Saccharomyces cerevisiae S288C: one gene and its partner. The protein of the gene in region 1 purifies or fractionates together with the protein of each later gene. This does not show direct contact. Each region holds a gene or a part of one and is shown in the gene's direction. Other genes may lie near its edges.

Region 1 (4,162 bases):
TCTATTTTTAATTTATATATTTATATTAAAAAATTTAAATTATAATTATTTTTATAGCACGTGATGAAAAGAAATATAGTCTTCAAGGTTATATTATACAGGTTTATATATTATTTTACTTATTTTTGTTGTTCTTTTTCTTGGAGTATTTAGCATTAACAACTTCGACAGGTTCCATAACGCTTCTATCCTCTAGTTTCACATAGGTACCGACTACTTTACCTCTTCCATCGCCCAAATTAATAATTGTCTTTGAGAAGTTGTTTGTATTTGCTGTGGGCAAAACATCTTTAAAAATATTGCATACTGCGGCCTTAAGTTCGTAGTGTAACGTCAATGCTTCAGTAGCTGTCGTGAATTTTATTGCCTTATAGTCATCTACAGTAGGTTCTTGCCAATCCATTTCAGGAAATTTACAATCATATAACAATAATGGTATATCATTTGCCATTTCGTAAACAGGCCTTTGAGGGGTTTTCTCAATATCAGTCAGACGCAAGACAATTTCCGGCACTTCAAGTGATTGACCAACTAAGAAAAGAATGGCCATCATGCAACGAACTTGGTGCCATAGGAATGCTGAACCAACGAGATCAAAACAATAGAAAGTTTCAGAAAGGGGAAGAATTTTTGAGCTTATTATTGTTCGTTTAAAATTGGTAATTTGTTTTGAGCCATCAAGCTTACAAAAATTCCTGAAGTCTCTCTCTCCAACAAAATATGATGCGGCTTTAGACATTTTTTCAATATTAAGGTTTTTTCCATTAAAGATGTACTTATAGTGCCGGTGAACACAGCTGAATCTTGCGTCAAAGTTAGGTGGCGGTCTGAGGCAGACAGCTGATATACGAATATCGTCGGGTAGTAATTGATTTAAAACGTGAACATAGGGTATTTCCCTGCTGTCGTTGGTCGGATCCCGCTGTTCCTCATCTGTTAAATTGGAACGGACTTCTAACGATATAACTTGGTTCATGGCGCTAACTCCCTTGTCTGTTCTGCCACATCTGCTAAATTTATAGTCTTGTAAAACCATCGAGGGAACAAGTTTACACTTATTCATGGCCTCCAAAATGGTACCCTCTACTGTAGGCAACGGTGTGTATTCCTTCTGAACAGCTAAGCCATTGTAATTCCATCCCAAATAGGCAAATCTCAAGGCGATGAACCTGGTATTATGTTTAGAAAAGTCAAACTTCTTCGGAGCCTTTTTCGCCTTGCTTCTCGTAACCTCTTCTTGCGAAATTTTGCGCTTTTTGTTATCCTCGATGTGCTGGAATTTTTCAGAATGTGGCTTATTTGCGTTTTCTAGTTCAGTGATCCTTCGTATTAGCTGCTCTTTGGACCAGTTTGCGTAAATGGAGTCCTTCTTACTAACAATAGCATTGGTACCTGTTGAAATCGCTTTCATTTTCCCAACTAGCCTTCTAATGAAATTACTCATTCAAGGGAGGTTATAGTAGGGCAGTAAAGATTGCATGTGGGCACCTCGAGAATACTATATTATTCTTTATTTTGAGCCGGCTTTTCGCTTTCAAAAATTTTTCACTGAAAAACAAAGTGAGCTTTTCAAGATGAGCTGAGCCCATTGATTTGAGGTGTAGTAAGATAATATTAAAAGCTCAGCAGCAATAAAAACAATGTCAAAGTCATTGGAATGGGATAATCTCGGGTTTTCTTTACTTCCCTGGATAAGGACAGGACTCGATGTTATGGGTTTTGAGACCATGACTCCAGTCCAAGCATCGACAATTCCCATGCTTGCTGGCAACAAGGATGTAGTAGTTGATTCTGTAACAGGCTCAGGTAAGACCGCTGCGTTTGTTATACCTGTACTAGAAAAAGTTGTAAAGGAAGAAGCGAATACATCAAAATTCAAGAAAGCACACTTCCACTCGTTAATTATTGCTCCAACAAGAGAATTGTCACGCCAAATTGAGTCTGTCGTTCTATCATTTCTGGAACATTATCCTTCCGACTTGTTCCCTATTAAATGTCAGCTCCTGGTTGGTACTAATGAAGCCACAGTTAGAGATGATGTAAGTAATTTTCTGCGGAATAGACCGCAGATTCTGATTGGAACACCTGGTAGAGTTTTGGACTTTTTACAAATGCCAGCAGTAAAGACGTCAGCATGCAGTATGGTAGTTATGGATGAAGCAGACAGATTGTTGGATATGAGTTTTATTAAGGATACCGAAAAAATTCTGAGGCTATTGCCTAAACAAAGAAGGACGGGTCTATTTTCTGCAACTATGCGTAGCGCCGGATCAGATATCTTTAAGACAGGGCTTAGAAATCCTGTCAGGATTACCGTTAACTCTAAGAACCAGGCGCCCTCCTCTTTGAAATTAAATTACTGTGTCGTAAATCCTGCCGAAAAACTACAACTTTTGGTTAGCATTTTGAATAACTACAAATTCAAGAAATGTATTGTATATTTTCCAACATGTGTGTCAGTCTCCTACTTCTACTCATTTATCCAGTATTTGGGAAAGAGGAATATTCTCGTGAATGAAGTAGAAATATTTTCCTTGCATGGAAAACTTCAAACATCGGCAAGGACAAAAACTCTAACAGCTTTTACTGATTCGCTAAGTAATTCTGTTTTATTCACAACAGATGTGGCTGCTAGAGGTATTGACATACCCGACGTTGATCTCGTCATCCAGCTTGATCCCCCTACCAATACTGATATGTTCATGCATAGATGTGGTAGAACTGGTAGAGCAAATAGAGTGGGTAAAGCAATTACGTTTCTTAATGAAGGCAGAGAAGAGGATTTTATTCCTTTCATGCAAGTTAAAAATGTGGAACTTGAAGAACTTGATTTGGAAGTAAAGGGCATAACAACAAACTTTTACGAGGACTTTAGAAATTGGATACTAGAAGATAGGGATAGATTTGATAAAGGTGTTAAAGCATATGTTGCCTTTATTAAATACTACTCAAATCATTCCGCAACTTCAATTTTTAGGCTTCAATCTTTAGATTATGTTGGTATTGCGAAATTGTATGGTCTTTTCCGCCTGCCTAGAATGCCTGAGATAACAAAGTACTTAGCCACCGAAAAACAAGAAGGGATTTTCCCAGGGAATTGGTTGGTCGATCCCCCAGTTAATATGGATGAATATAAATACAAGGACAAAAAACGTGAAAAGGAGAGACAAGAAACATTAAAAAATATAAGCCTGATTAATGATAAAAAGAAGCTGAAAAGTGAGTTGAAGAAGAAGAATTTAGCGTGGTCAGATAAAACATTGACGAAAGAACGGAAACTCGAGAGAAAGGAAAAGATGAGTTTAAAAAGGAAGGCTATAGAGGAAGAATTGAAAGCAGAAGAGCTCGATGAAAATGCTGAAGAAGAGCGTATTAAAGAGGATTGGAAAGAAATCGTTTTACAGAATAAACGGAAGAAAGTTTCCAGCAAAGCTATCCAAGGCAATTTTGACGACTTATAATTATGGAAAAAAAGTTACCTTGTTCGTAGAATCACTCAACATTCTTAACCAATGGATGATCTTGTAGCATCATAGTGAGTAAGTAGATTATTTGTGTATGCATACTTAATTTAAAATATTCTAAAACCATTATACTCCATCTTAAAGCATAATATATATCTCTTGTTCAGCATGTACTTGTAACAGGAAAAGGATATTATGTTCAGAAATAATCAAACAGCCTCAATACTGACATCAGGCAGTCGACAGGAATAACTTCAAAATAAGTTCCGATCACAACGTTATTGTAATGGAACCAATGATCGCTCATTGATTAGTATTCATATTAACACTATATTAAAATTGAGTGTGAGTAGATGGCACAAAGACTGAGAAATAATCATCAAATTTAATGGAAGCCGAAATGCAAGACTTGATAATGTAATGGAATAAAGAGTGGCGACAATAATATGAAAAAGAAAATATTAATAACATTATATAGAAATATGGGCTTCCTTTTTTAGGTTATTACATCCTTGGGAAGAATTTTTAATATACTTTGATTCCCTTTAATAACAATGGAATGCCAACAATTATCCTAACATTGACCCGTTGGTAATTAGAGGTTAAGAAGTAGTGTTAATGAAGATTAAATATGGATCTTCTTATACTATATAAGAGAAGTATAAAACACACGCTGATTTGTGTATTATTACTTATGA
Region 2 (3,794 bases), on another chromosome or scaffold:
ATGGTGAAACCGAAGGTTTATATGGCTGGCTTGGCTTAAACTATCTATATGGACACTTTAATGACTATAATCCAGAGGTCTCTGACCATTTTACATTTGGGTTTATGGACATGGGCGGTGCCTCTACTCAGATTGCGTTTGCACCGCATGATTCAGGAGAAATAGCTAGACATAGAGATGACATCGCCACCATCTTCTTGAGGAGTGTTAACGGAGATTTGCAGAAATGGGACGTTTTTGTTAGTACGTGGTTAGGGTTTGGTGCCAATCAGGCTAGAAGAAGGTACTTGGCTCAGTTGATCAATACCCTTCCAGAAAACACAAATGATTACGAAAATGATGACTTCTCTACAAGGAACTTGAATGATCCATGTATGCCGCGAGGAAGCAGCACGGATTTTGAATTTAAAGATACCATATTTCACATCGCGGGTTCTGGGAATTACGAACAATGTACAAAATCTATTTATCCGTTACTTTTAAAGAACATGCCTTGTGATGACGAGCCGTGCTTGTTTAATGGTGTTCATGCTCCTCGAATAGACTTTGCCAATGACAAATTTATAGGTACTTCTGAGTACTGGTACACTGCCAACGACGTATTCAAACTTGGGGGCGAATACAACTTTGACAAATTTAGCAAAAGCCTAAGGGAGTTTTGCAATTCCAATTGGACGCAAATATTAGCGAACAGTGATAAAGGCGTGTATAATTCTATTCCGGAGAATTTTTTGAAAGATGCATGCTTTAAGGGCAATTGGGTCCTTAATATACTTCATGAAGGGTTTGATATGCCTCGAATAGATGTCGACGCAGAAAATGTCAATGACAGGCCCTTATTTCAAAGTGTGGAAAAAGTCGAAGAACGAGAGTTATCGTGGACACTAGGCAGAATTTTACTTTATGCCTCAGGTAGCATATTGGCAGGTAATGATGACTTCATGGTGGGTATTGCGCCCAGTGAAAGAAGAACTAAGCTCACTGGTAAGAAATTCATACCTGGCAAGTTACTGGAGTCTGATCAACTACGCAAGCAAAGTTCCAGCCTTTCTAATAAAGGATTTTTGATGTGGTTCGCAATTATTTGTTGCATATTTTACTTGATCTTTCATAGGTCACACATAATCAGAAGACGTTTTTCCGGTCTGTACAACATTACCAAGGACTTTAAGACAGGCATAAGGAGAAGGTTGAAATTTCTAAGGAGATCAGATCCATTTTCCAGATTGGAGGAAGGTGAACTTGGAACAGACGTAGATGGCTTCAAAGATGTGTACAGGATGAAGAGTAGCAGTATGTTTGATCTTGGTAAGAGTTCAGCCACAATGCAAAGGGAGCACGAACCACAAAGGACAGCAAGTCAGTCCGCTAATCTCGCTCCGTCAAACTTACGACCTGCGTTTTCTATGGCTGATTTTTCCAAATTTAAGGACAGTAGGCTATATGATTGAATGTGGTGGTGTATGTGCCATAAATAGAAGCGCATATACTTCTCACATAAATATATGTATATATCTAGTGAGGTGCCATAGTATTGCATTAACAGTGATTCACGTCACTCTAAACGTCGCTTCTGTTTTTTTTTTGAAATTTTTTTCTCACAGCTGCTGAAAATTTTCGAGCGAGGCGATGAGATGAGCTAATTATATCAAGAGGGAATTGTACTAGTAATACTTTGGTACACACAAGAACAAGCATATAGGTATACAGTCACGACTATAATATCATAAAATGAGAGTCAGAAAGCGCCAATCTAGAAGAACATCTACCAAGTTGAAGGAAGGTATTAAGAAGAAGGCTTCTGCCCATAGAAAAAAGGAAAAGAAGATGGCTAAGAAGGACGTTACTTGGAGATCAAGGTCTAAGAAAGACCCTGGTATTCCTTCTAACTTTCCTTATAAGGCTAAGATCTTAGAAGAAATAGAAGCCAAAAAAATGAAGGACTTAGAGGAAAGAGAGCTTGCCAAACAACAACGATTGGAGGCTAGGAAAGCTGCCAAGGAACAAGGCGTTGATGCAATGGATGAAGACATGATAGAAGACGATGAAAATGGATTAGCAGCTTTGGTTGAGTCTGCTCAGCAAGCAGCTGCTGAATATGAGGGCACACCCTCTAATGATGCAGATGTTCGTGATGATGAATTGGACGTCATTGATTATAACATTGATTTCTACGGTGAAGATGTAGAAGGCGAGTCAGAACTTGAAAAATCTAGGAAAGCTTATGACAAGATTTTCAAATCCGTTATTGATGCTTCTGATGTCATCCTATATGTTTTGGATGCCAGAGATCCAGAGAGTACAAGATCAAGAAAGGTGGAAGAAGCCGTCTTACAAAGTCAGGGTAAAAGGCTGATTTTAATACTGAACAAAGTTGATTTAATTCCCCCACATGTATTGGAACAATGGTTAAATTACTTAAAGTCTAGTTTTCCTACAATCCCATTAAGAGCTTCTTCTGGTGCAGTCAACGGAACTTCTTTCAACAGAAAGCTAAGCCAAACCACTACTGCAAGTGCACTGCTAGAGTCGCTGAAAACTTACTCTAATAACAGCAATTTGAAGAGATCTATTGTAGTGGGTGTTATCGGTTATCCAAATGTTGGTAAATCATCTGTTATCAACGCTCTTTTGGCGCGCCGTGGAGGTCAATCAAAGGCTTGCCCAGTCGGTAATGAAGCAGGTGTTACTACCTCTCTGAGAGAGATCAAAATCGACAACAAGTTGAAGATTCTAGATTCTCCTGGTATATGTTTCCCAAGCGAAAATAAGAAAAGATCGAAAGTTGAACATGAAGCTGAATTAGCTCTTCTAAATGCTCTACCGGCAAAACACATTGTTGATCCGTATCCAGCTGTCTTAATGTTGGTAAAGAGACTAGCTAAATCAGATGAAATGACAGAGAGCTTTAAAAAGCTGTATGAAATTCCTCCTATTCCTGCTAATGATGCAGATACGTTTACAAAACATTTCTTAATTCACGTCGCTCGTAAAAGAGGTAGATTAGGGAAAGGCGGTATTCCAAATCTTGCCAGTGCTGGTCTTTCGGTACTTAATGACTGGAGGGATGGTAAAATTCTTGGTTGGGTTTTACCAAATACATCGGCAGCTGCATCTCAACAAGATAAACAAAATCTAAGTACTATAAACACTGGCACTAAACAAGCTCCAATTGCAGCAAATGAATCCACCATTGTATCCGAGTGGTCCAAAGAATTTGATTTGGATGGATTATTTAGCTCTCTTGACAAGGCCATAGATGCTAGCAAAGATCAAGATACAATGATGGAATAAATAAGTCATATGTAAGGCTATTTTTATGTAAGGGGTGTTTCTTATTTTTTCTTTATCATCAAATAACATTACTGTAAATTATAGGTGTGCTTTTAAACTCATTACTATACATCTTATTTTTTTTAGTTTTACTGCCTTTTTGCTCTTTGGACAAAGAAATCATTAAAAAGTTCCAACTTTTATTATGTTTCATATATAAGATATACAAAATATAAAATGCAAAACGAATTTCAGAGATAGCATGACTTATGAAATTGGGGACAGACTCAAGATTGGTGGATATTTTTGCACCATCAAATTCATAGGTGTTATTAAGCCGTGGCCTTCGGTAAAAGCTTATGGGGTGGAATGGGACGATCACAGCCGGGGAAAACATTCTGGAACAATAGATGACATACACTATTTTGACGTTCAAATTCCTAATTCAGGATCATTTTTGAAGGAGTCTAAGATTAAATCTCCAGGTGTACGCAGAATTACGTTTTACGAAGCATTGTCAG

The links. The genes of interacting proteins can lie anywhere in the genome.
Region 2: the proteins of SPB4 (region 1) and NUG1 purify together in Saccharomyces cerevisiae (affinity purification with mass spectrometry; 6 studies listed by BioGRID). This does not show direct contact.

The regions. Positions count from the first base shown.
Region 1 is NC_001138.5:144,413-148,574, reverse strand, and holds SPB4 (ATP-dependent RNA helicase SPB4), read left to right. Parts: upstream 1-1,640; coding exon 1,641-3,461; downstream 3,462-4,162. Other genes in the region: pseudouridine synthase DEG1, read right to left, coding at 116-1,444. UniProt on the Saccharomyces cerevisiae protein: ATP-binding RNA helicase involved in the biogenesis of 60S ribosomal subunits. Binds 90S pre-ribosomal particles and dissociates from pre-60S ribosomal particles after processing of 27SB pre-rRNA.
Region 2 is NC_001137.3:160,992-164,785, forward strand, and holds NUG1 (RNA-binding GTPase NUG1), read left to right. Parts: upstream 1-1,731; coding exon 1,732-3,294; downstream 3,295-3,794. Other genes in the region: YND1 (apyrase), read left to right, coding at 1-1,451; PAC2 (Pac2p), read left to right, coding at 3,536-3,794. UniProt on the Saccharomyces cerevisiae protein: GTPase required for 60S ribosomal subunit export to the cytoplasm.